4 linked regions of the Arabidopsis thaliana genome follow. The protein of the gene in region 1 purifies or fractionates together with the protein of each later gene. This does not show direct contact. Each region holds a gene or a part of one and is shown in the gene's direction. Other genes may lie near its edges.

Region 1 (6,371 bases):
TTTCTAGCCTTGTCTAGATTATACACGCGTCACACTTCTAAATTTATATCTATCTTTTACTAGATTTTTCTATTATTTATTGTTGCCTACATATTTCTATTTTGTTTTGTAATAAAACTAAACCTGATTTGAAAATTATAAAAGCACTACGTGACACGATTTGATTCGATATACTTAATTTTTGAAACATAAACAATATAAACAAAGATAAGAAAAAATACCACAAATAGAAATGTCAAACTCTGCAAATAAATTCAGAAATGGAAACAAAATAATATTTTAAAATATTTAATAAATTGTGTGTGAATAAATATGCATTTGTTGAGAGAAGAAAACCATAATTAAAAAAAAAAAAAGAGAAAAGGAGTCAAGATTAGTCTTTTAAGCCATAGCCAATACCCAATTTGCAGAGACAGAGGAAGAGAGAGAAAGATAGTGAAGAGAAAGAAACAACCATGTTCTGAGGAAGGAGACATGCATCATCATCATCATTCATCATCATCATCATCATCATAATCTCAAGCTTATTACTTAACTTCTTTTTCTCTCCATCTCTTCTTACCAAATCCAAAGCACCAAAGGTCTCTCTCTCTCTCTCTCTCTTCTTGTTCGCTTAATTTATTTGGTAGTGATGTTATGATTTGGTTGCTCAGTTTCTACTTATGATGATATAATTAAAAATAATAATTTTTGAGTTATGAGAGAAAAAAATCTTTTGGTTGGTTTCTCTGTTTTCTTGGATCATTAAGTTCAATGAGATTTGATGAGTTTTTTTATCTGTTCAAACTCAGAAATTTAATCTGTCGATTTTAGTTTTTGTTTGCATGTTGTGTAAGTTCTAGCCATGTTCAAAGTTTGAATCTTTTGGAACCCTTTAGATCATGAAACAATCTTACTGTGTCATTGAACCTGGAATCTGTGTTTTAGGATTGCTTTTATAATCTTTTGGTATCATTTCTCTCTTGTATTTGTTGATTATGTGGATCATGAATAATATCATATGATTTATGACTGGACTTGTTGGTTTGGACATTTAGTTTATTGAAGTAAAGATTTGAAGACAATGCAAGTGTTTCAAAGGAAAGAAGATTCATCTTGGGGAAACTCAATGCCTACAACAAATTCAAATATTCAAGGATCTGAATCTTTCAGCTTGACTAAGGATATGATAATGTCTACAACACAATTACCCGCGATGAAACATTCGGGTTTGCAGCTGCAAAATCAAGATTCAACCTCATCACAATCTACTGAAGAAGAATCAGGCGGCGGTGAAGTTGCAAGCTTTGGAGAATATAAGCGTTATGGATGCAGCATTGTTAATAACAATCTCTCAGGTTACATCGAAAACTTGGGAAAGCCTATTGAAAATTATACTAAGTCAATTACTACCTCGTCGATGGTGTCTCAAGACTCTGTGTTTCCTGCTCCTACTTCTGGTCAAATATCTTGGTCTCTTCAATGTGCTGAAACGTCACATTTCAATGGTTTCTTGGCTCCTGAATATGCATCAACACCAACGGTAATATGCTGTGAAGCCTTTTGTGCTTTTACTATTCTGAATCGATCTGGCGCATTGATTGGTTGATTGGGAAATCTTTTTGCAGGCGCTGCCACATTTAGAGATGATGGGTTTGGTTTCTTCAAGAGTGCCATTGCCTCATCACATTCAAGAGAATGAACCAATATTTGTCAATGCGAAACAGTATCATGCGATTCTCCGTCGCAGGAAGCACCGTGCTAAACTCGAAGCTCAGAACAAACTCATCAAATGCCGTAAAGTATGACTGTTTTCACTTTCCATTTTGCCTAAAACACCAAAGAGAAAGAGGGAAAACTAACTCAGAAGATCTTGATGATTTGATGTAATAAAGTTTTGTTTTCTTTTTCTGTAGCCGTACCTTCATGAGTCTCGCCATCTTCATGCTTTAAAGAGAGCTAGAGGCTCCGGTGGACGTTTCCTCAATACAAAGAAGCTTCAAGAATCATCAAACTCACTGTGTTCTTCTCAAATGGCAAATGGACAAAATTTCTCTATGAGCCCTCACGGTGGTGGAAGCGGAATCGGGTCTAGTTCGATCTCACCGAGCTCCAATTCAAACTGTATCAACATGTTCCAAAACCCGCAGTTCAGATTCTCAGGTTATCCGTCAACACACCATGCCTCAGCTCTCATGTCAGGGACTTGAGGCACATGAGAAGACCTTGCTCCGAGAGAACTCAGGCTAAACTCCGGAGACTGGTGATGATACATGACGGGAAGTCATCCTTGGCTACTTATGTTATCGGTTACAAAATTTCTTCCTTTTAAAAACTTTGCTTTCATATCCTCTACAATCTCTCACTCTATATTGAGTGACTTGACGAACTTTCAAATCATTGTCAAACTATTTTGTTAACTTCCGATTCTCTGAGAGTACAAATTGCATTACCCTATTACATACAATGAGAGAAGATTCAGGGTCACTAAGAGTAATATACACGCATAGATCCCCTAATGCTCTGAAGACAAACTGGACACTTAGGGTTTAACTCTCGTTCCACGGTTGAAGCACATCGCCTGCAACATACTACATGTCCACAGGGAATAAACGCAGGTACTCTCCTTCTTGACACGCAGATCACACACAATTCTCCATCTGGGATTTCATCTGCATCTTCGGGTTCATCATCGACCACAGAATCGTTCGGTCTCTGTGGCAGTTCTCTCTGATGGTTCCATTGTTTCCATTTATTCCAGGTCCTGAAGATAAGACAGTTAAACAGATTTCAAATCGAAACATTGCCCAAATCTAAAACCAAATCTGATCTCTCACAACTCCAGTACCTGACAGCAGCATAGCTAAGGATGCCAACAGACACAATGCCCAAGATAACGCTGCCCAAGAATATAAAGTTGGTCTGTTCCATAAGGTCCTCAATCATCTTGTCCTTGGTCATCTCTGATCTGCAAAGATTATTCATAAAGATTTATATATGAACAGCAAATAGAGCCTTTCTGCAACAATGGACTAAATCTTGTCAAATGATCAACAGATTGAGAAAACATAAAGAAGAAGATGAAGTAATAATTTGAGCTAGAACGCAGGCAGATATATAAGAACGAAAAATATTCAGATAAAATCTCACAAGAAATAAGGAAGATCTTGGCACGATTTGATTTCAGGAACTCCATTATTAAAACTGTAGATGCCAACAGCTGTTATATCTTTCCCAGGTGGTAAAATCTTCTCTATATCAAGCAGACCAACCTTGGAAGAGAAAGGATTACAAAGTTAGCCAAGAACAAGTAACCATCAGTTCCTCAAAACCAGAAATTTCTTTGAATATATATATACTCACAGGATAATCGGGGTACAAAAAGGCTTGAAGAAACGAAGAATTAATAGGCTGCAAGCGATTATACACAGTGGTAAGCGGAAGAGGTTGCCTTGAGCCATCCATGTTAACAGCGACAAAACTAGAGTTCGATTGCTGATCCTTTCCAACAATGACAAATGGGACCTGCACAAAGCAAAGGATACACAAAACAAGTTTGATCATGGATACAGAGCCAAAGTTGAAAGCTCTGAAGCTGATAGAGAGACTTTACCGTTCTCGTAAAATCAGCACCGTGTTTGCGCAATGATCTCTCCAACATAAACCGGTGACCAGTGGACTGAAACAATCTCTTCCATCCACTATACACATACTGTCAACAACAAAATGATGACATTAGAAACATACATTTCCCTTCTGAGATCACACCAGTACCAACTTACATAATCCTAACTTAATCAATCACAATGAACACCTAATCATGAAGAAATCATCCAAACTCTTTAACCTAAGCCTTTGATAAGAACACAAAGCAAAATTAGGTCAATGTCAATTGCAATTTGAGGGAAACATAAACACTTAGGGTTTAGAGCAACGTACAGTTTGCGTTCTCTGAATGATAAGAGCTTTATCTCCAGTCTCCGGAGAGATTAACACGTTGTTGTTCTTGTAACCCTCATCACCGGAAATTTTCGGTTTGACGACTCCGCGAACCACAACGATTCGCTGATCATTGCTCTTCCTGTTATCGTTAGTCTCTGATTTGTCTTCAGAAGCCGGAAGCAGTGATCGGAGGTCGGAAATGGAGACTTCGGGTGCATCTTTGATCTTCTTCAACGCGGCGTTGGTAGAAGCATACTTGAGAGCAGAACCGACGGCGCTAACAGCTAAAGTCAGTCCGAGGATTGCGCCGTCGAAGGAGAGAGCGATGTCCGTCAATAGATTCAAGAGAGCACGCTCCGGCGAGGACATTGTGGTAATTTCGATTTCAACGTCGTAGACACGGTCACACGGACAAGTAAACGGAAGAGAAATGAGGCTATTATCGGTATTTAATATTATACATTCGACCGTCGTTCTAATTTGGGTCTTTAATGGGCCTATGCACGAGTGAAATACAAAATACTAGTAATAAATAGCGTTTTAGTTAAATTACATTTACACCCTCAACGTTACAGCAGATTTACAAACCAAAACCATAAATATCAGATCTAGAGTGGCAGAGATTAGTATTTCCCGATTCCTCGCCGCCGTTCATCAATCTCTCCGTCGTGTTTCTGCCACTAGCTCTCCACCAAACTTTCTCTCTCGCATTAGGTATTTATCGCCTCTTTATGGCATATAATCTTGTGTTTTGGAACTTATTGATGAAGCTAGGTTAGAATCTCCTTTGTCTTTCTTATCTCCGATTCGTGAAGCTCTAATTCTTATTTATTCGATTTATGTAATGTGTTGCTGTTACACGATGTTTGCTTGTGAGATTCGATTGAAACTTGTGTTGTTGCAACATCAATTCTGTATAAGAAAGGTTCTTAATTTGACTCTGTAGCTTTACTTTTTTTTTAGTTGTTTAGGGATAAACATGGCAGGAGAAGGTGAAGAAGATGTACCTAGAGATGCTAAGATTGTGAAATCTCTGCTTAAGTCGATGGGTGTAGAAGACTACGAGCCTCGTGTGATACATCAGTTTCTGGAGTTATGGTACCGGTATGTGGTCGAAGTGTTGACAGATGCTCAGGTTTACTCAGAGCATGCTAGCAAACCCAACATTGACTGTGATGATGTGAAGCTCGCTATTCAATCCAAAGTTAATTTCAGCTTCTCACAGCCTCCTCCAAGAGAGGTATGCATTGTTGACGATTCCATGTTTCTTCTTCTTCATTGTCTGAGAAGAGATGCGATATGATCGGTCATTTGGTATATGTGAATCATTAGGGAATTATCACTCTTACTTATGACTTATGAACTGTGTGTGACCCTCTTGCCTCATAAATTGTATCACTGAGAACCTCAAGTTTTTGTCTGTCACATCCATGCCTTTTGGTTCCTGAATCTTGAAGTTTCTGTTTTTGATGTTTGATTTAGGTTCTGCTTGAGCTTGCTGCAAGTAGGAACAAGATACCTCTGCCAAAATCGATAGCAGGACCCGGTGTTCCACTCCCACCTGAACAGGACACATTGCTGAGCCCAAATTATCAGCTCGTGATACCGAAGAAGTCGGTTTCAACAGAACCTGAAGAAACCGAGGACGATGAAGAAATGACAGATCCTGGACAGTCCTCTCAAGAACAACAACAGCAGCAACAACAAACCTCAGACCTTCCAAGCCAAACTCCTCAAAGGGTCTCTTTCCCACTCTCTAGACGACCCAAATAAGTACCCAAATAAGTAGATAGACCAAAAAATCTATAATATTTATGTATCAACAAGTAGAAATGTAACACAATCAAAAATTAATGACCAGAGCCAGTTTTTATGGACCAGATCCAGATGTGTGGTTTGAAGATTTAGAATGTAAGAGAATCAAATATTAATGACCAGAGTCAGTTTTTTAGAACATATAGGCATATCTTATATACACTGTTGTGTGGGAATCAACAATACCGAAGGTACAACAAATCTTCTGAAGCATTATACTATATATGCAACTATAGTATATATACATGAACAAAGGTAATTAAGAGAATCAGTTAGCTTCCCCAGCCAACCATGGTACCAGTAGCTGCACGGTGAGGCCGTGAAAACGCAAGCCCTCGATCATACATCCGCTGAATTTCCTCTCTGTATTCAGTCAGAGACTTGTCAGGTATGGCTGGAGTCAGCTCCACCACATCTCCCATCTTCAGCTTGCATTTCAGATCACTTACAGGTGTCTGGTTAAGTCTTGGCCTTAGCTCTTCCTTTGCCGGGATGCTGTACATTGACCATCTCGAGCTCCCTGGTCCTGCTCTGCGTAACAGGTCCGACACGGTAGAATTCTCGGGAAACTCTTGCACAGTCATCTGCATTTTCGGGTTTATCAAATTATAACTCCAAGCAAAGAAACATCCTCA
Region 2 (6,734 bases), about 16 Mb from region 1:
TATCAATGTGTTGCTAAAACAGTCTGAAAGGGTAATTTTATGTGATATGGACTGTAATTTTTCGAAAAGTTCACAAGTGCCATTGGTAAATGATATATAAACTAATAACATCGAGAGGCGCACTATATGAAAAATGGAGGAAGCCATGCCATGAAAGAACGTCGATGCATTCAAAATGAGATTTGAAATTCCTAATTAAAGTTAAGACCAGTTGTATTAGTGTTATGCAGAGTAGTATATTATTCTACTTGGATTAATTCACAGTAAAGAAGAGATATACATAATTCAAAGGCTTATTGTTATTTCAAAGCAAAACATGAAGAGGTCACCCAGTTAAGAAGAGATACATAATAAATTCAGAGGCTTATAACATGAAAAGGTATTCGACAATAGATGAAATGAAAAGAGAAGACAAAGAGTACATAAGAAAGCGCGCACACACAGACACAGACACAGACCAAATTAATAGTTAATCATTCACTTGGGAGGGCGAGTAGCGTGAACTATCCCGTTTTCCTTTAACAGCTTAGTCTCCAACTTCACGAGAGACACGAAAGCAGGCCAATTCTCGGTACGATTGTGCATTTGGTCGCAGTTTGGGTCTACTTTCTTCAAGTAGGAGTGAGCAGCAGCTATGCCGATAGTGTTACCAATGATATCCACAAAGAGTGCAACCTCAGAGGTAGAGAAACTCATCTCCTTTCTATGCATCCACATAAAGATCTAACAACAACCAAAAAAACAAACTTTCATAAATCCTAACACAATGATCTCTAACTAGAAAAGAAATAGAGCGATGAATACAAAAGTTAGATAGATGAGAAAGATACCTGGAGAGCATCTACATGTTTGCCTTCCATGTAAGCTGCTTTGCCGAGCTGACGAGATCCGCCTGGGTGACGGGAACACCCTTCTTCTCTTCCTCCGCGATGATGAATTCTAAGGTCTCTCGGGTAAGAGACCTCAGCTTCTTGAAAATACCACTCTTTGCATTCTCAGCATCACAAGAGGAAGCAGAAGAAGAAGCTCCGTTGATCTGCCTGTTCCCTTTGTTCTCAGCAGAAGAAGAAAACGGAGCCGTTCTCGCGATCTTAATCTCAGCAGAAGAAGAAGAAAACGGAGCCATTGTTCTCGTAAGCGTAGAGATCTTCATCTCTCTTTTCCATAGATGAAGAGAACCTGATGATACCATTCGGCGCAAGGCCAACATTTTCCAAACCCTAATTTTGATAACCCTAATTCTCTAATATATAAAACAATCAAGTTGCCTTGTTAAAATCAGGATATGATCTCTCTTATATTAGTAGGTTACTTACACAATTACCTACATCTTTGTCGATTTGTCAGTTTGACTTATGAATCAGTCTACTAGATTGTAAAAATAAATAAAACGATGAAATGTCTATAATACCCCTAACTCTACACACGTGTGAACTTTTTGAATAGTACTGGACCCGGGTCAACCACACACAGTAGACACGAGCCTTCTTCTTCTTCTCTAAGCGAGTGAAGTAAGCTTACCAGTGGCAGTGAGTGAGCTCTTACCAGTGTTTAGGGTCTTCTGCAATTTTCCTTGTTTTGATCGGGAGCTTGATCAAGACTACTGATGCTGAGATTTACGAAAATTGCCAACGGTCTCTATGTTCCCGGTGACAGTGAAGCTCTTTACGCTTCCAAGTTTCAAGACTCCACTGCTACTTTGACTTCGCCTATCTCGCTGGTACAAGGTCTGTGGAGGTTACAGTATGGGTGATAACCTTTTCCTTCTGCGAGGAAAGCATTGTCTCGGCTTTTACTTTTGTTCATAACTTGTGGATATTGGATAGTAAAGCCTACCACTAATGGCATAACATTCAGGATGCTTCTTGGTGTGCTATGATTTGTTATAAGCGAATCACTCTCGTTGGCTAAACACTTTGAGAAAATGACTCTTAAAATGCTCTCTTGGGCTATACTGGAAACTTGCTGTGTTCAGTGGATCTTCAGGTCCTTGTTGACAACCATTAACAAGCTTAAGGTAAGAATAAAGAAACCAACAATACTTTCAGTCCTTTGATGATTTATAATTCCATAACAGACTAAGGGCAGTGCATATAGATATCTTTCGTACTCATCTGCTTTTTCTGGTCTCCATCACAAAAGCCAACTAGGTAATCATATCAATCTCTCTTTACCGTTTACTCGACCTTTTCCAATCAGGTGCTTCTGGTGTGTCTACTACTATCAGTTTTAGGTCTTTGTATACCTGATCTTATCTGCTACTGAGGCTTGTAAAAGTGATTAAAACTGTGACATTTACTCTAAGAGAAGTAACCTGTTTGATGCATTTCCCTAATATACCGGTGTGGAAAAGTGTAGGTATCTGTACTCAGCTGAAATGGTGGACGATTTTGAAGAAGATGAACTCTCATTGACTGAAAGCGGGTTGAAGAGTGAAGATGGCGTTATTATCGAGATGAATGTCTCCTGGATGCTTTTATTATCATGTTTGGGAATTTACCAAGGGAGAGGTATCAGAATCTATCTTAGAAGGTTACATTTAGCTCAAGCTTGCATCAACATCTTTACTTAGAGCTCTACGGGTTTTAGTGTGTTTGAAGTTTCTTAACTCCTAGTATAATTAGAATCTTCTGCAGCAGACTTTAGAGTTTTGGGATGTAGAGCTAACCAGAGTCGGTTTGTTTAAACTAGAATCTTTTTATGTAGCAGACTTGTTCAGTACCTGAATACCAGTTTTAAATTACCGTCAGATGTTGATCTTGTTGGTAATAATGGAGAAACGGAAGAATAATTAGACGAAACAAACTCTTTAAGAACGTATCTTTCAGTTTTCCATCACAAATTTTCTTACAAGCTACAAAAATCGAACTATATATAACTGAACCGAATTTAAACCGGAGGGAGGGTTTGACTTTGGTCAATCACATTTCCAATGATACCGTCGTTTGGTTTGGGGAAGCCTCGTCGTACAAATACGACGTCGTTTAAGGAAAGCCCTCCTTAACCCCAGTTATAAGCTCAAAGTTGTACTTGACCTTTTTAAAGAAGCACGAAACGAAAAACCCTAAAATTCCCAAGCAGAGAAAGAGAGACAGAGCAAGTACAGATTTCAACTAGCTCAAGATGATCATCCCTGTTCGTTGCTTTACTTGTGGAAAGGTTGATATTTTCCCCTTCGCTTTGGTCTTATTTAGGGTTTTACTCCGTCTTTATAGGGTTTTAGTTACTCCAAATTTGGCTAAGAAGAGATCTTTACTCTCTGTATTTGACACGAATGTTTTTAATCGGTTGGATACATGTTGGGTCGATTAGAGAAATAAAGTATTGAGCTTTACTAAGCTTTCACCTTGTGATTGGTTTAGGTGATTGGAAACAAATGGGATCAGTATCTTGATCTTCTCCAGCTCGACTACACTGAAGGGTAAGCTTACAATGATTCTCACTTCTTGCTGCTCTAATCATCATACTTTGTGTCAAAAAGAGAGTAATTGCTTTGCGTTTTAGAGAAATTAGCCCAGATTTCGTATTGGGTCTGTGAAGTTTCATATTAGCTAACACACTTCTCTAATTGATAACAGAAGCTATAAAATAGATTTGCTGATGAAGGAGTTAGCTTTTTATAATCTTCTGTGTTTGTGTTTTACTGTCTGTGTCATTGGAAGAGACTATGTCCTGCCTATATAATCTCTATGTGCCTATCTAGATTTTCTATACAATTGATATTTGATAGAAGTAGAAAGTAAGACTTAAGGTCTTTTGATTAGACTTGTGCCCATCTACATGATTCTTATTGGACTAATCATTCTTTGTGTGAAAATAGAATACTTTGTCTGAACATGAGAGAATGGTTCATAATACGTGTGAAGTATGGGATTAGTTCAACAATTTCGCTATTGGAGAAGCAAACCAAGGGTTAATCGTTTATAGGGTTAAGCTAATGCTCTGCTCTTTATATGTTATTGGAACAGACTATTGTTGTGCCTATCTTGTTTAGTTGTAGATTCTATCTCGACTGTTATAAGTATGACTGAAGGCTTGATGACTTATGATTCTCTTTACACCTGTAGAAGGATTTAAGCTTGGTGTCTAGATATTCAATCTGTGTTGGTTTTGTCTTTCTTTTGGCTCTTAGTGTTGTTCAATCTCCTCAATAGGTATGAAGTTACAATATCCTTATTATTTTGCAGGGACGCACTTGATGCACTCCAGCTAGTCAGATACTGCTGCAGGCGTATGCTAATGACTCATGTTGATCTGATTGAGAAGCTTCTCAACTACAACAGTATACTCTCCAAACTCTTATCATATGTTGTGTATCTTTTGACTCGGACGTTATTGTCCTTTTCGATTTATTTACTGGTACCCACGTACTTTTCCTTGCAGCTCTGGAGAAATCAGACAACAGTTAGAAGAGGATGCAAATCTGCTGAAAAAGTTTTCCTCTTTAGAGGCTTAAATATTAGTATGTATGAAAACATTTGGTGTATGTGGTGTAGACCCTTCAACTCCATCTAAAATTATATATGTGTGTCAGTTACTTTCTCGTGTGATTCAATCTCATGATTTCCTGACCTTGAAGATTTCTCCTTTGGATTCATGTTTCATTAGTATTATTGAGGTGATTTTCATGGCCATAACTGAAAACCTTTGAGAAAAGAGTTAAAAGTCACTGGTCTTCATAACCTTTTGTATACAAAACGCAAGTACAACAGAATCGTCCAACTGTTTAGTGTGTTCAGGCTCGGGCAAGAGTTTTCAAATCTTCCAAACGAACGGTTAAAATAAAATGTATAACCAAAGAAGAATGAAGAACACAGTGTAATCATATCTGGCTTATGTAACCCGACCCCGTTCTTAAGGGAACATATCACATTCAAATCTCCAATAACGATCCCAAACCACATAAGATGTGTTATTAAGATCCAATTAATCGGGACTAAAACCAATTCGAGAGAACAAACGAACGATGACTCAGTACCCATTAATCTGTCTTCCTGTTGTTGTCGATCCTACCAACCGAGAGAAGGGTTGCTGCTGCGTTTGGTTGTTGCGGCTTTTGTTAAAACTGTTGCTGCTTCCAATTCCAGATTTAGGGTCAGAGAAAGGAGAATAGGCTTGAGCTAGCTCAAGAGCAGAAGCTGCTTTTCCGTGACGAATCCCTGTTCCATTTGGTGAATCCAGTTTCTGGGGAACCGGCTTTCGCCATGTCTCTGGTGATGGATGTCTTGTCTTCTCCTGAGTCTGCTGTTGCTGTCTTGCGCTCTTGTTTTCATTTTCACGCCAGTTTCTCCTCTGAGTTTCGGATCTGGCAATGTCGCTTACATTTCGCCCATCCTTTTGGTCGAATTTCCTCGTTCTCATGTCACGTGGAGAACTCACTGGCCTTTGACTTGCATGCTCTGGAACTCTTTCAATCGGTTTGAGGACCATCCTTTTGATATAAAAGAAAAAACAAAAACAGAACTTTAAATTAGATAGTTGGTCTCAATGGAATCGTAAGTGTTGGATCGCAGAAAGTATACACAGAATGTGAGTGGGTAGAGAAACCCGTTCTACCTATCTGTCGGTTGATCCAATTTGTGATGCTCGGGCTCATCAATGCCTCTCTCCTTCAACACCTGTCCAGGAAATCAAATGATGATAAACAAATGGACAACATAACAAGAGTGAGTTATACAACAAGATGAAACAAACTGCACTCACCAGCTCTCGTGGTCTGGCACCACCAAAAACCGCACTTCTGCACCAGCCAGTACAAATTTTAAGAACAATTCTTCTATATAACTATAGTTATGTCCCCAAGCTCCAAAATAATTATTACCGAGCTGGGACAAAAAAATGTAAGTACCACATTGTTACCTGTCCTTTTCAGTTTTAACTTCTGGCTGCTCAAGCAACTGTGCCACAGGCTTCAGATTCAACTTGGGCCGCTCAGCCGGCTGGTTAGGAATCTCATCTGTAGACAAACCAGATTTTGAATTGTTGAAACTTTTCTGTGTCGCATTTTCACGTTGTATAAGGACTGAAGCACTATTTTCCTGCAGATACAAAACTGAGGTATCAGAAACATAGTTGAGGAAAAAAGAAACCTGAAAACTAAAGTGGCAGTTCAGAAACTTGTAACAACTATACCAGTTTTTCGTCATTCACAGGTTTCTCCACACTTTCAAGTGGTTTTGTCCGAGGAAGCAGGTTCAGCTTAGGTCTTTCCACAACTTCAGAAGGGGCAGTTGGCTGCACCAAATGTCCAGCAGGCTTAACGTCAGAGTATTTTGGATGAGGTTTATCGTTGGTGTTTGCTACAATTTTCGCTTCCTTAGCATCCACATAAGTTGGACCAGGGATTTTCTCATACTCACGGGAGAGTTTTTTCCCACGCTGGATCCCATCTTCAGCAATCAGTGCCCGTTCTACATGTGTTCCATGTGGCTCAACCCCTTGACTAATCACAGGGCTATTAGTCTTATAAACTCTGGTATCTATCTCTGAATGCTTAACAACATCAAAACCCATCTGAGAAGGAACCAAAAGCTTGGACTGCCATCCTCCTGAAGACACTTGGTCAAGCGCACTTGTATGGACCAAATTCGAAACAGCTGGTTGTTTAGTCCATGGAGACTGTCCAGGCTCATTGTTAGCAACTGATACCTCCTTCCTCCCATTCCAAATATTAGAGTGATTTCCTGACACTGAGTTCTCAATATTACCAGTCCCAGAATGAGTCAAAGGACCAG
Region 3 (10,497 bases), on another chromosome or scaffold:
TCTTCGATGTCTCCTCGAACGCTACGCCGTTCAACGCCGCGCCGATCGTATTAGCTTTCGCATCTTTCGATGATGCAACTGTTGACTTCGCCGTCACCGTCACGTAACTTCCTTCATCGTCCTCTTCCCGGAGCTCGTGACGGTAACGTGAGCTACCGCCGCAACTAACGGCGTCGACGATCTTTCTACGGAATGTGGATCTAGAGAAGGTGCTCCAGAGACGGAAATGGTAGCCGGAAGTAGAAGAAGAAGAAGTGGAAGGAGCACGGTCAAGAATGAGAGATCCGATATTATTCCGGTGACATTTAGCCATGGTTGTGATTCTCCGATCAGTTCTTTAAGCTTAACCTACTTACTACATATGCACCACCAACAAGCAAAGAGAGAGTGCGAAAGATTTATATATATCTTTTTATTTTTTTGTAAGAAAGAATTATAATTATTTGTTTGTTTATTTGGAAGCGAAAACAGAGCGAATGTTGACTGTTGATTACTTCTTTTTATAAAGAACAAAAATTTGCAGTACTTATTGATTTATCAAAGAATAAAAAAAAAACTGTGTTTGGATGCAGTCTTATAATAAATCGCGGATAAGCTATTCTATCAATTATTTTAAGTCAATTCTATATGCTTTTTTCTTCATTGATGATTTTTTAAATTGATAACGTTTATGAAAATTGTTTTTTTTTCTTTGAAGAGAAAATGTGAAAGTACAAGAGAGGGGTGAGTGAGGCCATCACTAATTTCAACCGTTCAAAATTTACAAAATGTGTGTCAGGGAAGCTTCTACAGTTCTACACAAGTCCCATCATTTTGATGATACTAAATCAGTAGATTGCTACTACTATTGGGGCTTTGTTTATGATTCTTTTTCTATAACACACAATATATTTCATTTTAAGAAAAAAGAATTTCTAGAAGAAGTTTATAGCTCTAAAAATGGTCCAACAAAACCACCGAGAAACCAAAATTTAAATCAATGTTTAGGCTCTTCTACAATTGATTTCAGTAATTTTCTAAAGAGTAAGAACCCCTTTGGATACGTTTCTGTATTATTTATTTTTCGTAAGGTTTGGTTATTTTAGGATGGCTCTACAAAAAAAATACAATAAACATCTAAAATAACTTGTATCAATTAAAAATAAATATATGCAAATTTCATGCTGCACAGTGGACATCCAGTGGAAGTATTCGAGAATGATTTAACTGTGTTGTGTTGTTTGGTCAGATCGCTGCTAATTGCTATTCTCAAGTCTCAACCTTCTTTTACTGGTACGCACTCAAAGCCCATTATCACCGAAAACATTTCGGTGGATATTTTAATAATTCTCTAATTGATAAGCGTGATTTTATGTCAACTTACAAGGCTTTTCAAAGCCCAAAAAGGGCCACAGGCCCAAGCATAAAGAGAAACATTCACACCATATCTATTTTAAAGATTAATAAAAATGAACAAAACTGATTTTAATTGTAAAATAACAAAAATTTGCTTTCATTGAGAGTTGAACTCAAGACCTCCCGCTTACTAAACGGGTGCTCTAACCAACTGAGCTATGAAAGCTTTTGCTGTTACAATTAATTAAAATCTATATAATACTTTGTAACAAAACTTTTTTTAAGTGTTAGTTAATTTAAAAAGCGTTAATCAATTGAAATGTGGACCTCTTAAAAAAACTAACAAATACAAAAATGCACCATTTGTCCATAGAGTATTGGAAACTAAGTAAACCATCTTCATACTATTGGTCACAACCAAATCCCTTTCCAATTTGTAACGGACGACTAATTTTGGTTTTGTGGTCAAGACTCAAGATAATGCTAATTTTTAAACAAAATTACAGTGCATGAATCTAATCTTTATTTCCTTCTTCTTTTATAACCTTTTTCATACTTACCATTTGCATGCCTCTCTTTAATATTTGTTTTATTCTATAGAAACAAATCACATTATATTGCATTGAATAGATTTTTATTTAAGTTTCATTTATTTGTTTTCAGACACATATCTTTAGATACTAAAGATATAACTAAATATTTAAATCTTATTTCTGGTCAACCCATTCAGACAAAGAATCTTAAATAAAAAAAACTTTAAATTAATTTCTTCCCTAAATATGATATATATTTTTTAATTATGTTACATAAATGTATATATACAATATAAATTTATAGTTTTTTTTTGGTAAGCATATAAATTTATAGTTTGACCAGTGTCAAGGAAACTTAATAAATCAAACAACTTTTTATACTAATAAAATAAAATAACTTTTTGTTTTAATGATATTTAAATATTTAATTATTCAATATATGGTTATTTTGATAATTTTATTTTAAATCATCATCGAATTTCTTGTTGAAATTTCAAAATTGCCGCGTAATCTTAACGGTTTTAGGTACAATTTCATTCACAAAAACCACTAGGACTCACTTCTAAAAATTTCTCACAGCCACAACTACATCTGCATCCCCTTCTGGTTACAAATTAATTCACCTTTACATTGAAATTGACAAAAAAAGGTAGTGTTATCTCCATAAAACAAAATTAAAAGGAAATAAAGAATAATGACCACTCCCTCTCTATATATATAAACAGACGTTTATCATATCCTTAAGAATCACCCCTCTTGCGTTTTAGCTCCCTTGCATTTTCTTCATCTTGTACGCTCCTCCTTGGTCTTAGATTTTCTGAGATATTTCTCTTTTCACTCTTTCTTGTTACGATTTTATCTAAAAATTTAATGAATCATATTTACTGACCAAACACATTGTTGTGGTTTTTTCATGCAGAGAAATGGCTAATCTGTTGCAAAGGCTTCGTAGACGAACCGGGCCAAAGCCAGATTATATTGAAGACAAGTTGGATGAATACATTCGTGAAGAACAAGTTGAAGAAACAGGCGGAAGTAACCAGGTATGTCTTTGTCTTGTTGTGAAATTATAGATCTGCAGTGACTTTTAATTATTTGATCCATTTCAGGATTGTCCTCTTGGCGAGATTGAAAAGATTTTGGACCGTGAATGGCGTCCTACTGCATCTAACAATCCGAATTCTTCTGACAACGGGACACCAACCCTAGTTGTCGTGAAACAATATCTTGTGAAGTGGAAGGGGTTATCGTACTTGCACTGCTCTTGGTAAATTCCCAGCAATATGCGATATCGTGTTGTATTTAATTAAACATGTCGATTATTATGTTTTTGTTGCTTCTCTTGTCTGGTTATCTTATCATCACTTGATTATTAATGTCAATTCTTAGGGTGCCCGAGCAGGAGTTCGAGAAGGCTTACAAGTCCCATCCTCATTTAAAACTAAAATTAAGGGTGACCAGGTTTAACGCTGCTATGGACGTATTCATCGCTGAGAACGGAGCTCATGAGTTTATCGCCATTCGTCCTGAATGGAAAACTGTTGACCGGATTATTGCTTGCCGGTTAAGTGATTCAAGTCTTGTCCTTTGTTTTTATGTCCTTAACTTGATAGACCTCGTTGTGACAATTATGTTTTTTTTTTTTTTTTTTTCCTTTGTGATTATTTATTCATGCGTTTATATTTCTTTCTCTATCTTCTGTGTAGAAAAGTGTGACACTTAATGGATTTCGTTTTGACAATTATGGTTTTTTTGTTTGTGATATGATGTAGGGAAGGAGATGATGGGGAGGAGTATCTGGTGAAGTACAAAGAACTTTCTTACAGAAATAGTTACTGGGAATCTGAATCTGACATCTCAGATTTCCAGAATGAAATCCAAAGGTTTAAGGATATAAACTCTAGCTCTCGTAGAGATAAATATGTCGAAAATGAGAGAAATCGAGAGGAATTCAAACAGTTTGATCTTACTCCTGAATTTCTTACAGGTATTTTATTAGACTACTTGAACAATTTGTATACAGTTTCTGTATAATGTTATTGATTTACTTACCTTATATGTTTTTAAGGCACATTGCATACATACCAGCTCGAAGGGCTGAATTTCCTAAGGTATTCATGGTCCAAGAAAACCAATGTAATCCTTGCGGATGAAATGGGACTAGGTACGTCTTCAAAAATCCATTTCTTTTTTGGGGTTATTCATAGGCTTTGCTTTTATCATTTGTGTAAAATAAGATTGGTTTTGTGGTTGCTGCAGGCAAAACTATTCAGAGCATTGCCTTCTTGGCCTCTTTGTTCGAGGAAAACTTATCTCCTCATCTAGTTGTTGCTCCTCTCTCAACCATCCGTAACTGGGAGAGGGAATTTGCCACCTGGGCACCACATATGAATGTGGTATGTATCATGTTTCGTATATATATGTCACATATACGGTATTAGTTATTTATTAATGTTTTCATCGTATGATATATGCAGGTTATGTACACTGGGGATTCGGAAGCACGTGATGTTATATGGGAACATGAGTTCTACTTCTCTGAAGGGCGTAAAAGTAAGTTTGATGTCTTGCTCACGACGTATGAGATGGTTCACCCAGGGATATCAGTTCTGAGTCCAATCAAGTGGACGTGCATGGTATTTCTGTATTAATTATCTGAATGATACTATATACTTTGTATGTCTTTCTTTTAGATCTCATATTTTGCTTAGAATATCATTCTCTTGGTTAGATTATTGATGAAGGCCATCGGTTGAAAAATCAGAAGTCAAAGCTGTACTCTTCATTGAGTCAGTTTACAAGTAAGCATATCGTTCTGTTGACCGGAACACCACTTCAGGTTCGTCGTTAGTCGATTTTTGGTTCTTCGACTTTCCCAAGGTTCATTCAATCCTACATTAAAGTTTACCTAATTAGTTATGATCTCTGAAATAGTACTATAATTATTATGGTATCAATTCTTTTGTATCACTAATACTTATTTGGTGTTTTTTCAGAACAACTTGAATGAACTTTTCGCTCTGATGCATTTTCTTGATGCGGACAAGGTTAGCCAAAAGATAACGCATATAAAATAAGTTTAGTTTATTCTCTAAAATAGTCATTATAAGCATACAAGCTTGCTTTAATTATTTTATTTTCCATGCTTGCAGTTTGGGAGTTTGGAGAAGTTTCAAGATATAAATAAAGAGGAGCAGATTTCAAGACTCCACCAAATGTTGGCTCCGCATCTGCTCAGAAGTATTAACCAACAAATCTTATTAAGAACATTTCGTTTGAAGTCTCGCACCAAGGGATAACTATAACCATGGTGATTAATCTTGCTTTTATTGTTATTGCAGGGTTAAAGAAAGACGTGCTCAAGGATAAGGTGCCCCCAAAGAAGGAGCTCATTTTGCGTGTTGATATGAGCAGCCAGCAAAAAGAAGTGTACAAAGCTGTTATTACCAATAATTATCAAGTCTTGACAAAGAAACGAGATGCTAAAGTAAGTTTTGTGGATCTCTTGTGCTTATGCAGATGTATATATATTGTCTTGGTTTAGGAACCTTTTAGACTGTACTTGGTAGGATAATTCGGCTGGTTAAACTGTTTCAGATATCTAACGTGCTAATGAAATTACGCCAAGTTTGCTCTCATCCGTATCTGTTACCAGACTTTGAGCCAAGATTTGAAGACGCAAATGAAGCTTTTACGTAACATTTGATCACTAATCTTGACGTATTGATTCCTTTTTAGTATTTTGTGCTGACTTTTGCTTGACCTTTTCTGAATTGTTCTAAAGAAAACTATTGGAAGCTTCCGGAAAGTTGCAACTGTTAGACAAAATGATGGTCAAACTCAAAGAGCAGGGGCACAGAGTGCTAATCTATACCCAATTCCAACACACCCTTTACCTTTTGGAAGACTACTTCACTTTCAAGGTAACCTAATCTGCTATATCTGTTTGTCGACCTATTGATTTGTTCAGTTGGTGTTGTCGCTCTGCAAATGACTTGCGATATAATCTTTTCCTTCCACTTAAAAGTTACTTTTTAATATATCTTGAGACGCAAGGAACAGTAACTTTCTTTTTATAATTTGCTTATATGCAATTAAGGAAAAACTATTGTATGATATTGAGCCGTAACAAATTTATTTTTATTTTGTCAGAATTGGAATTATGAACGGATTGATGGAAAGATCAGTGGACCTGAGAGGCAAGTAAGAATAGATCGGTTTAATGCAGAAAACTCGAACCGGTTCTGTTTTTTGCTCAGTACAAGAGCTGGTGGAATAGGGATAAACCTTGCAACAGCTGATACAGTCATCATTTATGACAGGTTTGAGTTCCAATATCTGTTTAATGAAATGATAAAGTGCTTGTTGGAAGTTTCTTTCCAGAATAACAGAGTGTTTGGATCTTCTAAGTTAATAGCGGAAAGATATTGTAGAGGCATTTAAGATGGTTGTGATGAATTTATTGACATGATTTTTTCACTGGTGTTGTAGTGATTGGAATCCTCATGCTGATCTCCAGGCTATGGCTAGAGTTCATCGGCTTGGCCAAACAAATAAGGTTCTCTTTTCATGGCGTCAATGTGGAATCATCCACTTGCTATTTCATTCTTTTTCTAGCTATGTCACTGATTAAGCCTATATTTTCTTATTTAGGTAATGATCTACAGACTGATTCACAAAGGTACTGTAGAAGAACGGATGATGGAGATAACCAAGAACAAGATGCTTCTAGAGCATCTCGTCGTGGGAAAACAACATCTTTGTCAGGTATATATATATATATGTATTCCTTGTTCGATTTGTTATTGATTCTTATTGCTACAAGGTTTAATTAATTACTGTTTTCTATCCCTGACTGTAATTAGGACGAGTTAGATGACATCATCAAATATGGTTCCAAGGAACTTTTCTCTGAAGAGAATGATGAAGCAGGGAGGTCTGGAAAAATCCATTACGATGATGCTGCTATCGAACAGTAATATATTCTTCTTTCTTTCTTTGTTTTTACTTTCCTAGTGATTTTACTTTAATAGTTCAAAGCCACCATACAATTGCATGGAATGTTCATGATTTGTAGCCACACCTTTTCTTCTGCAGGTTGCTAGATCGTAATCATGTAGATGCTGTGGAGGTCTCACTGGATGATGAGGAGGAAACTGATTTTTTAAAGAATTTCAAGGTTTACTTCTTTCTCTTTCTCTTTCTAGATGAGTGGTTATTGATCAGATGATCCAATATTTGTTAAGGTCCAGAGAATTGTTTAGAGAGTAATAATTCAATGGATATGCTACAAGAATCATCATGTGCATGTGCATGCATATATATACACCCTTTTTTCCTGCAATATTAAGTTATACACATATATTTAGTGGCATTAATTCCAAATATAATTTCTCTTTTTGATGTTATTTCCTGTATATTAGGTGGCTAGTTTTGAGTATGTAGATGATGAAAATGAGGCTGCAGCATTAGAGGAGGCACAAGCTATAGAAAACAATTCTTCAGTAAGAAATGCTGATAGAACAAGTCACTGGAAAGATTTGCTGAAAGACAAATATGAAGTGCAACAAGCTGAGGAGCTCAGTGCTCTTGGAAAGAGGAAGAGAAACGGCAAGCAGGTACGTATACTCTTCTTGATCCCACCTCTCCAGAATCGTTTTATGTCCTTTAGCACAAGTGTTCTTATTCCTGCTTTTGTTAATATTACTAGGTGATGTATGCTGAAGATGATCTTGATGGTTTAGAAGAAATCTCTGATGAGGAGGACGAATATTGTCTTGATGATTTAAAAGTGACCTCTGATGAGGAGGAGGAAGCAGATGAACCCGAAGCAGCTCGACAGAGAAAGCCGAGGACGGTTACAAGGCCTTACAGAAAAAGGGCTCGCGGTACTATACTTTTCCAAATATTGCATTGAAGATGACATCTTGTTGGTTTCAGAGGTTTACAAGTTAAGTAACTTTGAAAATCTATTTTGCTGTAAGATAATTCGGAGGAAATACCTTTGATGGAAGGCGAAGGGAGATATCTCATGGTGCTGGGATTTAACGAGACTGAGAGGGATATATTTTTACGTACGTTTAAGAGGTATATCTTCTTTCTAATAATGTTGTCTAAATTGTGGTTTGGCGTCTCTCAAAGCATCATAGTATATCATAAGTGTCTCAAAACAACTTTTGTAGGTATGGAGCTGGAAACTTTGATTGGAAGGAGTTTGTTAATCCCTTATACATGAAGACCTATGACGAGATAAATAAGTATTGACGACTTAAAGCCATTTATGCTCTTATTTTCAGCTGCTTTACAAAAACCAACAGTTGTTCATTGACACTTGTTAAATTTGTTGTTTCTCAGGTATGGAATCTTATTTTTGAAACACATTGCCGAAAACCCTACCGATAATTCTACAAATTTTAAAGGTAATTTATCACTTTATTGATTATATGTTTGTTGGTATTCTTAGATATATCCAATTGCTTATTTCTGTTATCATATTTTTAAGTTATTACGGCAATGGTCTATGCAGATGGAGTTCCCAAAGAAGGGATAAGCAGTGACGAGCTACTAGTGAGCATGACTTTTATGATGCTAGTAAAGGAGAAGGTAAGCCTACCATTTTCCAGTGTCTATGGAATTTAAACAGTTACTTATTAGCACTAGTAACCGAACCAAAACTTGAGAAGATTCATTGCATTCTTTCTTAAAGTTTTTGCATGTGGTTTATATATCTGAAAGTTTCTCGTTTGATAAAATTTGGTTTGGTCCTCTCTTGTTTGTTTGAGCTCACTTCTCAATGTTTGATGTGACAGTGTCAATTTTTGGACAACCATCCGACAGCACCTGTTTTCTCTAACTACGTCATCAGTAAGTACAATTTGAGAAATGGAGCATTTTCTAAGGAAGAACATGATAGGATACTGATTCCTGCTGTTTCCAAGTAAGAACCCTTCAACGATTATCCTTACTTGATTTTGTTTCTCTTTGTTTGTTTGCTCACATGCATGTTGCTTCCATTCTTGAAACTTTGTAAAAATATAGGCATGGCTATGGTAGATGGGTGGCCATCGTTGAAGACGAAGAGATAGGGTTCCAAGAGGTTGCCTGCAAAGACCTGAATATCCCTTTCCCTCCTGATACTAAATCTGCTCGTAAAAGAATTTGTGACCATGTGGGAAAACGGGTTAAGAAGATGGAGGATGCCATAAAGTATGAGTACGCAGTACGTAATATTTTGTGCCGACTCAGTAATTTTAATCTTTTGTCTTCTCATGCTACTACTACATTGTTACATTGTTCATCTATATTGGTACTTCGTTGCAGGAAAAGATACTTGCTGAACAAGCAAAAGCTGAAACAAAGGGAACAAGCTTTGTTGATGCAGAAAAAGAAATGCTTAAGAATGATCCCATCAGTATGTGTCTTGATAAGTTTCTACAGTTACTAATGGATATATTTCTTTAGATTCTTGTTCTAACTGAAACGTTTTAATCTTGCAGCTTCAAAAAAAAATTCTGCAACTGCCGTTGACAACAAGCAAGGCAGAGTTGAAATGGCTCAATCATACGATCAGGTAAACAAACACATTCCTATTTTCGTGGATATATAGTTACATTAAGAACCCATATTAACTTATCTTTCTCCACACATTTTCAGAGTGTTAATGAGAAGTCAGGTGAGTCATTCCAGACATATTTAGATATTCAACCGCTGAATCGAATGCCGAGGGAGAGCTTTAAGCCTCTGGAACCTATCAATGAGGAAATAAGCACTAGGCTAAGCGTTGGGACAGATCATGATGTAGAGATGGATGCAGCGGATAACATCATTGTGCTGGATTGACATCAAAAATCATTATTACTTCTTTCATGATTGTGTTGATCGTTGGCTGATTTTCTTTACTAAGATACCTTTTGCTGATTTTTTTTTTTTTGTTTGTCAAAGTTACCTTTTGCTGAATTTTAATTACTAAGTTACCTTTTGCTAAATTTGTTTGCATACAGCGTAGTTGTCTTGAGTTGCAGAGTATCATATTTGTCCATTTATAGTTTCTTAGGTATAAAGCGTATATGAACCAAAATATAACCAAATATATTATGGAAACTAATTGAAACTGAAGTTATGATCATCTTGGGTTTTTTCATCGGATAAGTATTAGTTTAAACTAGATTGAATCTACTACTCTTGATCAAACAAGCACACACAACTTGAAATAACTCCAAACACCATGAGTTCATAGAAAATGATTTCCCACTAATATCTTTGTTAATGCCAAACTTTATCATTGCATGTCTTTTGCATTAAAAATACTTCATGGGTGATGATCATCTTCTTTTAATTGAACCAAAGAAACGTCTTTTGAGCTCTCTCAAAACCCAAGACACACATATGCATATATTTATATAAACTGTTGATTTCTCTAATTTAGATATACATGGAAAGAACATTCCCTAACCATATCAATTAGGTTGGATTTGATCGTATTTATTGTTCTATAGGATATATTAGTAAAATTAAGAAACAAAAGAAATAGAAATGGGAAATACAAAAAGAGAAAAAGAGAGGAGCTGCAGAAAACAGGGAAAATGGTGGGAAAGAAGAGACAAAAGAGAAAGGCTTTAAATCCACGCTT
Region 4 (7,456 bases), on another chromosome or scaffold:
TATGTATCGTATATCCACGTATACCAACCAACATATATATGACATGGTTAAGCGACAACATTTTTTACACATGTAACTATTATAAATTTTTAGTTTATAGCGTTTACAAAGACATTATCATAAAATTTGATTATTACATGACTGCATAATTTAACAAACATAGAACCTTATTAAAATGCATGTTCCAGTGCAATACATGTGGATTGATGTTGAATGACTCTAAAAGATATTGTTATGATACAACAGTATCTCAAAAAAGATTCAGACCAAATATTTTATTGTCTTAATTATTATTATTATTTTTTTTTTTCTATAAATCCGATATTTCCCCAAAAGCCAAAAGGGTGATGTGAGACCGTTATACTTGACATATTTTATATATTTTATTTATATAACCTATTTTGGATCGTTTCCAACTATAAGATATGGGGTTGATAATTTTTGATTGTACATGAAGATTTTGTGTCCTTTGTATTGTATTCTATAGTCGAACTTGGACCACGTGTAATAACACCGGAGCACGCATTTTATAAGCTTTATGCTAGTATCCATACGATTAAATTATAGTTCATCATCATTTGTTATACTATATATTGATGTCACATAATAATTCAGATTTAAATATGGTAATGTGTTTGTGAACTATCCAAAAAATTTCAAAGAAATATACCAAAAATTTAATAGTTAAAATCTGAAAACAAAGCATGTAATTTAAGCTACAATTGTTATTACATATTGTAAGGGCTACGCAATTAGTTCTTGACAGTTGGTTGACTACATAACACTTGCTGAAACCTACGTTTTAGCGTTGGATATCTCTCTATATATTTTTGGTCAATGTCGTTGGAGATTGAATCCTAGATTAAATCCTACAAGAAGAAGAAAGCTTCATGAGAAGAAGAAGATGAAGAAAAGAGAAGAAGCCAAGCTTGGAAGAAGAGAAGAAGAAGATGTCGTGACCAAAGGAGGAAGAAGAGAATAAGAAGTTGTCGTGACCACTGACCAAAGGAGGAAGAAGAGTCAACGACACAAATCCAACATAAGAACGGAGTTGGATTTGTGTTTTGTAATAAGGCCATTGGGCCGTAAGTGAATTATAGCCCCACAAGTGTTAGTGGGTTTGGTTGGTTAAGTTTAAGCTAAATAAGTTAAGGTGGATATAACAAACATAGTTGCACCAATGCATCTCAGCTCACCTGGTCTAAGCAACGGTTTCAAGAAGTTGCTCGCTTCTATTGCTCCACGCCTCCACAAGTAGCTCCTACACAAGAGTAATAACTCATTAGTATAGAGACACAAGATTATACAAGAAATACTTAGTAGACATAATTGTTCATCTCCAGTGTTAATCCTCAATAATTGTTCGATGCAGTATTCTTCTAATGAGATGAAAAATCATTTTTATAGAGTTACCACCCATCAAAACCATTTATACAAAACGTTTTACTTGGTCAGAGTAAAAAAATGCATACAAGTATTGTGTATAAATAAAAAGGTCATCTATTAATGTATAATCTGAATCAAAAAAAGAAAGAGCACCTGCACCAATAACAATGTGAATCTCATCAATGAACAAGATTGTTTGCCCATTCGAAGCATATACTTCCTTCAATATTGTTTTAAACCTTGTCTCAAAATCTTCTCCATAATTAGCACCAACAAGGAGTGAACCCACGTCAAGAGATTTCAGCTCCATGATAAATAGCGAAACCAAGCAAAGCATGTTAAATCTTCCTCTAGCCTCTTTGAGGGGAAAAGGTAAATAAACTTAAATATTTAAAAATATCTAAGTTTATATAATAACAATATTGGGTAAGTGAAAAGTAATTGTCATTATTTTTGACACTTATTTTTATAAGTTAGAAGTAATTATAATTTTTTCAAACAAAAAAGTAAGTTTTTTGTGTGTGAAAAAATAATGATATTGAGAAGGTAATTTAATTAGAGGTGATATTTTATACCTTAAGAAGTGTATTAAAGTTAATAATAACCATAAGTTAAAATTGGTAAGCTAAATGTTAGAAATCATTTGTGTTGTCTGAATTTTCAAGTTTCGTTCGTTTCGGATTACTTTCTTCTTCTGCAAAAACAGATCCCAACCATTTCAAAGGTTCGTCTTCTCCTTCTCTTCCACACTCTTCTCTGCTTCACTTTTTACTCTATCTTCGACTAGTAATATCGCTTTCGACTTCTCAAATTACTTCTCAAGTTACTATTTTTCTCTTCCTTTCTTTCAAATTTTCGTTACAAACTGAGTTTGAAACTGTTTGGGTTTTGTAAAGTTTTGATCTTTTCATGATATTGCGGTAAGAGATTGTTAATTCGACTTCTGGGTACTCACATTTCGATGCTCAATTGTTTATTCTTATGGGTAATTTTGGCTAGGGTTTTTTCCAATTTCTCTCTCGTTCTCTTTCACAAGGTTAGTCGATCTTGCTCATGTGGTATAGAGTTTGATGAATCGAGTTGTTTAGTAGCTATTGTACGAACTATCTCTTGATATAGTTGTAAAGGTTTTAGATTGGGAACAAAAAATTTCACTGTGATGTTTGTTTAGGTAGTAGAGTTCAATTGTGTGAAACTCTAATTTCATAGTTTGCTTAAGTCTCAGAACTAGCACTGAGTCTATTGTTATATGTGTTGTTTATGTAAGTTTGTTGTTATTGATGGGAGATATGTTTTGTGTGCAGAAAATGAGTAGTTTGGTGGAGAGGCTTCGCATACGATCTGATAGGAAACCAGTTTATAACCTAGATGATTCTGATGATGACGACTTCGTTCCTAAAAAAGATCGAACCTTTGAGCAAGTCGAGGCTATTGTCAGAACTGATGCGGTTTGTTTCTCCTCTCGAGCTTATTGTTCAGCTTTTACTGTTTTATGTGTTCTATTTTAATCCTTTTTTTTGTGTTGTTACTCTGAATTTGTAGAAAGAAAATGCATGTCAGGCTTGTGGGGAAAGTACTAATCTTGTAAGCTGCAATACATGCACTTATGCGTTCCATGCTAAATGCTTAGTTCCACCTCTTAAAGATGCTTCCGTGGAAAATTGGAGATGCCCTGAATGTGTAAGATTTTAGTTACGGTCCACAATTATGTTTTGGGATGCTACAGGTTCCATTTTTCTTACATGGAAGAATTGTTGTTTACATTTGCAGGTTAGTCCTCTTAACGAGATAGATAAGATATTGGATTGTGAAATGCGTCCTACAAAATCTAGTGAACAAGGTTCCTCCGATGCGGAACCGAAGCCAATTTTTGTGAAACAGTATCTCGTGAAGTGGAAGGGATTATCATACCTTCACTGCTCTTGGTAGTTACTGCGTGTCTTTTTTGCTGTCTGGACACGCTAATTATCAATGTTTCTTTCTGTGAACACTATAATATGTGATTTATTTCCTTTTACTAATCATAGGGTGCCTGAGAAGGAGTTCCAGAAGGCTTATAAGTCAAATCATCGTTTAAAAACCAGAGTGAACAATTTTCACCGTCAAATGGAGTCATTCAATAACAGCGAAGATGATTTTGTTGCCATACGTCCTGAGTGGACCACTGTTGATCGGATTCTTGCCTGCAGGTCTAGAGAATGGAATTAATTCCTTTATTTATCTATCTGCCAACTTTTTTTTTAATATCCTTGTTTTCAGCATAATCCATTCTCTAATAAACACGTATCTTTGATAGAGTGCTGCTTAACCTAAATTTACTGTTATCACGATTTTGGGTCTCTGAAACATGATAAATGACCTGCTTACCTTTTTTTTCTTCTTTTTAAGTTACCATTTTCTTAGTTGTTTCGTAAATCAGGAATTGTGACAGTTGCATTGGTTTCTTTTATGATATAGAGAGGAAGATGGGGAGCTGGAATATCTTGTCAAATATAAAGAGCTATCCTATGATGAATGTTATTGGGAGTCAGAATCAGACATCTCAACCTTCCAGAATGAAATTCAAAGGTTCAAGGATGTAAATTCTAGAACTCGCAGAAGTAAAGATGTTGACCATAAAAGAAATCCCAGAGACTTTCAACAGTTTGATCATACTCCTGAATTCCTCAAAGGTATTTGGATCACCTTAAATCATATACTATAAATGTTTCTTATATTTGGTACTTATAGATGTTATGATTTATTTGTTTCCTGCGATTGAAGGCTTGTTACATCCATACCAGCTTGAGGGACTTAATTTTTTGCGGTTCTCGTGGTCAAAACAGACGCATGTAATCCTTGCTGATGAAATGGGACTAGGTAATTTTTCAATTGTCCCACTTGGGTGGTCACATAGATCTTTTCATCCATTGTAAGGGGCCTTTGTTTTCTATTCCTGTAATGTTGTGAGATTTTTCCTGTTACAGGCAAGACAATTCAAAGCATTGCCCTTTTAGCTTCACTTTTTGAGGAGAACCTCATTCCGCATTTGGTAATTGCTCCTCTATCGACTCTGCGTAACTGGGAGAGAGAGTTTGCCACATGGGCCCCACAGATGAACGTGGTATGTATGCAGTTATACACGCAATGATCTGTGCCATTTGTATGTTTTTGTTGTTTGTTAATGGAATGGTCTTCGTGGTCATTTGACGGGTAGGTTATGTATTTTGGCACTGCGCAAGCTCGAGCAGTTATCAGAGAACATGAGTTTTACTTATCGAAAGATCAAAAAAAGATCAAGAAAAAGAAATCTGGACAAATAAGTAGCGAAAGCAAGCAAAAAAGAATCAAGTTTGATGTCCTCCTCACATCGTATGAGATGATCAACCTAGATTCAGCAGTTCTAAAACCAATTAAGTGGGAGTGCATGGTAACTCTTATTCTCTAATGAGACTTTACTTTCTCTTAGTCGTCTCTCTTTCTCTCTTACATGTTGCCTAGTAACAATTGTTTTGGGCAGATTGTTGATGAAGGTCATCGACTGAAAAATAAGGATTCAAAGCTGTTCTCTTCATTGACACAGTATTCAAGTAACCACCGTATTCTTCTGACAGGAACACCACTTCAGGTTCGTCATTTGAGTTTGATTTCTGAAGTTTATACTTTCAATAGTTGTATCTGAGCATAGTAGCTACGATTTGCAATGAGAATTGTTATATATTATCTTGCACTAATGTCTTACCTGATTAGTTGCAATATGTTACTGATGATTATGTGGTGCCTTTACAGAACAACTTGGATGAACTTTTCATGCTCATGCATTTTCTTGATGCGGGGAAGGTATCACAAGAATAGCAAAGATAAATAAGTTCGCATACTTAACAGAATTTTATGTAGCTAACATGTTATTTGATTGCACAATACTTGCAGTTTGGAAGTTTGGAGGAGTTCCAGGAGGAGTTCAAAGATATTAATCAAGAGGAGCAGATCTCAAGGTTGCACAAAATGTTGGCTCCACATTTGCTCAGAAGTATTAACCAAAACTATTTGTTCATCTTTTTTAATTTATATGTGTTTCAAAAGTTTGGTTGGAGGGAATCTTTCATAGTAATAATTTTATGATCTTAACCATGCTGTCTCGTATTTTGATTGCTCTTCCAGGGGTAAAAAAAGACGTAATGAAAGACATGCCCCCCAAAAAGGAGCTCATTTTGCGTGTTGATCTGAGCAGTCTGCAGAAAGAATATTACAAAGCTATTTTTACCCGTAATTATCAAGTATTGACAAAAAAGGGAGGTGCTCAAGTAAGTTCTTTTTAATTTTTGTTTACACTTTTTGGATCATTAAACCTCATAGGTGGGGTAGAAACCAGGTCAACTGTAATCGTCTAGTGAATGTATTGGTCTATTTCTGTTTCAGATTTCCCTTAATAACATTATGATGGAATTACGAAAAGTATGCTGCCATCCTTATATGCTAGAGGGTGTTGAGCCAGTTATTCACGACGCAAATGAAGCTTTCAAGTAATATCTCATTTCCCAAAAATGGTTATCTGTTTATTACTACTTATTAAAGTCGTCTGCTAACTTTTGCGTTGAACGTTTTCTTATATGTATCAAAGACAACTTTTGGAGTCTTGTGGAAAGCTGCAACTTCTAGATAAAATGATGGTCAAACTGAAAGAGCAAGGACACAGAGTCCTAATATACACACAGTTTCAGCATATGCTGGACTTACTTGAAGACTACTGTACCCATAAGGTATTTGAACTTCTTATATGTACAGTCTGTTTCAGTAGATTTTCATTCTTGTTGTTTTTGTAGAATATCATTTTGACACTGTAGAATCAACTCTACCATTTTCTAGTGTTAGAGTACTTAGGCACAATTATGGAAATACAAGCATGTGCTGAAATTGAGAGTATATGAGCATTCTGTGCCCAACTGAAAGAGCAAAGACACAAAGTTTCCTTATAAACACAGTACAAATCACAAGTTTAGCCATCTTCTATGTACAGTAGTTTTCCAATAGGTCGAGCATGTGCTGAAACTGTGTGTACAGAGTTCTCATAAACACACAGTTTCAGCATATGCTGGATCTACTTGAAGACTACTGTTCTTATAAGGTACTGAACTTGTTATCTGTACTGCGTATATACGAGATCTCTGTATTCTTGCTCTTTTATTTTGACACTTTGTTCTCATATACACTCGGTTCAGCACATGCTCGACTTACTGCCTAAGGATCTTGAAAAAGGTAGAGTTGATTCTATGTCTAGGTGCAATTACTTTCTTAGAATTTTTGTCATTACTTACTCTGTTGGCAATATAACTTCTTTATTCCCTCAAAGATTACTTTTTTTGGTTTCTTGAAATGCCATTATCAATACCATTGCTTTTGCTGACGCATGCACTTGAGACAACTTGTTTTTATCTCTTTCTAGCACATTTTTTTTTAACATGCAGTTAAGGAAAATTCTCATATGATTTACGCTGTTCATTTTCTTGTCTTTGTCAGAAATGGCAGTACGAGCGAATTGATGGAAAGGTTGGCGGAGCTGAGCGGCAAATACGCATAGATCGGTTCAATGCCAAAAATTCTAACAAGTTTTGTTTTTTGCTCTCCACAAGAGCTGGTGGCTTAGGAATAAATCTTGCAACGGCTGATACAGTAATCATTTATGACAGGTTTGAATTTCAGCTTCTCTTAGTGTCATCTGTACTCTTTTCATAGTTATTGTGTCAAGCTGTAAGAGGAACTATTTGGCTTGATAGCATAATATTTTGGAAGTTTAATGTTGATTTTTAAGTGAATTGGGTTGTGATGAGTGATAAAAAGGCACTTGGCTTTTTTCCAATAACAGCTATTTCTTGAACATGGATGTTCTAAGACAGCAGGAAGATCAGGAAAATTATTAACCGCTATCTTGCTAATAATTAGATTTTGTAGGCATGCAATATGGGTGGCGTCCATGGGATCCTGCTTGGATGGCAGTTTGTTTTGGTTTACGCCTGTTCACATTTTCATACGTACGATTGAAACTGTTTTATCTGTTTCTGTAGTGACTGGAATCCTCATGCTGATCTTCAAG

What was found.
Region 2: the proteins of TAFII21 (region 1) and NRPB10 fractionate together in Arabidopsis thaliana (co-fractionation; one large-scale study listed by BioGRID). This does not show direct contact.
Region 3: the proteins of TAFII21 (region 1) and PKR2 fractionate together in Arabidopsis thaliana (co-fractionation; one large-scale study listed by BioGRID). This does not show direct contact.
Region 4: the proteins of TAFII21 (region 1) and PKL fractionate together in Arabidopsis thaliana (co-fractionation; one large-scale study listed by BioGRID). This does not show direct contact.

The regions. Positions count from the first base shown.
Region 1 is NC_003070.9:20,213,399-20,219,769, reverse strand, and holds TAFII21 (TATA binding protein associated factor 21kDa subunit), read left to right. Parts: upstream 1-4,504; 5' UTR 4,505-4,635; intron 4,636-4,884; 5' UTR 4,885-4,900; coding exon 4,901-5,161; intron 5,162-5,403; coding exon 5,404-5,694; 3' UTR 5,695-5,871; downstream 5,872-6,371. Other genes in the region: NF-YA5 (nuclear factor Y, subunit A5), read left to right, coding at 1,064-1,522, 1,608-1,781, 1,896-2,189; SPL2 (E3 Ubiquitin ligase family protein), read right to left, coding at 2,467-2,743, 2,828-2,947, 3,130-3,251, 3,343-3,504, 3,593-3,691, 3,919-4,290; RSH3 (RELA/SPOT homolog 3), read right to left, coding at 6,009-6,320.
Region 2 is NC_003070.9:3,859,397-3,866,130, forward strand, and holds NRPB10 (RNA polymerases N / 8 kDa subunit), read left to right. Parts: upstream 1-3,002; 5' UTR 3,003-3,123; coding exon 3,124-3,159; intron 3,160-3,362; coding exon 3,363-3,421; intron 3,422-4,187; coding exon 4,188-4,282; intron 4,283-4,383; coding exon 4,384-4,409; 3' UTR 4,410-4,678; downstream 4,679-6,734. Other genes in the region: AT1G11470 (Pentatricopeptide repeat (PPR) superfamily protein), read right to left, coding at 478-723, 831-892, 982-1,126; AT1G11480 (eukaryotic translation initiation factor-like protein), read right to left, coding at 4,972-5,431, 5,557-5,618, 5,704-5,740, 5,860-6,038, 6,133-6,734. UniProt on the Arabidopsis thaliana protein: DNA-dependent RNA polymerase catalyzes the transcription of DNA into RNA using the four ribonucleoside triphosphates as substrates. Component of RNA polymerase II which synthesizes mRNA precursors and many functional non-coding RNAs.
Region 3 is NC_003075.7:15,428,737-15,439,233, forward strand, and holds PKR2 (chromatin remodeling factor), read left to right. Parts: upstream 1-2,791; coding exon 2,792-2,911; intron 2,912-2,977; coding exon 2,978-3,135; intron 3,136-3,147; coding exon of another isoform or gene 3,148-3,217; intron 3,218-3,257; coding exon 3,258-3,431; intron 3,432-3,640; coding exon 3,641-3,855; intron 3,856-3,936; coding exon 3,937-4,032; intron 4,033-4,127; coding exon 4,128-4,264; intron 4,265-4,345; coding exon 4,346-4,504; intron 4,505-4,599; coding exon 4,600-4,707; intron 4,708-4,864; coding exon 4,865-4,915; intron 4,916-5,020; coding exon 5,021-5,108; intron 5,109-5,209; coding exon 5,210-5,355; intron 5,356-5,465; coding exon 5,466-5,563; intron 5,564-5,652; coding exon 5,653-5,791; intron 5,792-6,020; coding exon 6,021-6,190; intron 6,191-6,359; coding exon 6,360-6,426; intron 6,427-6,521; coding exon 6,522-6,635; intron 6,636-6,733; coding exon 6,734-6,843; intron 6,844-6,965; coding exon 6,966-7,047; intron 7,048-7,291; coding exon 7,292-7,486; and 21 more. Other genes in the region: AT4G31890 (ARM repeat superfamily protein), read right to left, coding at 1-313. UniProt on the Arabidopsis thaliana protein: Chromatin remodeling factor that represses the expression of embryonic trait genes upon and after seed germination and thus enables the developmental switch to post-germinative growth.
Region 4 is NC_003071.7:10,711,718-10,719,173, forward strand, and holds the start of PKL (chromatin remodeling factor CHD3 (PICKLE)), read left to right. Parts: upstream 1-2,347; coding exon 2,348-2,422; intron 2,423-2,690; coding exon 2,691-2,834; intron 2,835-2,928; coding exon 2,929-3,066; intron 3,067-3,156; coding exon 3,157-3,311; intron 3,312-3,413; coding exon 3,414-3,575; intron 3,576-3,843; coding exon 3,844-4,058; intron 4,059-4,149; coding exon 4,150-4,245; intron 4,246-4,352; coding exon 4,353-4,489; intron 4,490-4,582; coding exon 4,583-4,795; intron 4,796-4,885; coding exon 4,886-4,993; intron 4,994-5,154; coding exon 5,155-5,205; intron 5,206-5,295; coding exon 5,296-5,395; intron 5,396-5,526; coding exon 5,527-5,669; intron 5,670-5,784; coding exon 5,785-5,888; intron 5,889-5,986; coding exon 5,987-6,125; intron 6,126-6,378; exon of another isoform or gene 6,379-6,481; intron 6,482-6,882; coding exon 6,883-7,052; intron 7,053-7,427; coding exon 7,428-7,456. Other genes in the region: AT2G25169 (uncharacterized protein), read right to left, coding at 889-998, 1,197-1,261, 1,626-1,741, 2,214-2,297. UniProt on the Arabidopsis thaliana protein: Chromatin remodeling factor that represses the expression of embryonic trait genes (such as NFYB9/LEC1) upon and after seed germination and thus enables the developmental switch to post-germinative growth. Silences some MADS-box proteins such as PHE1 and PHE2.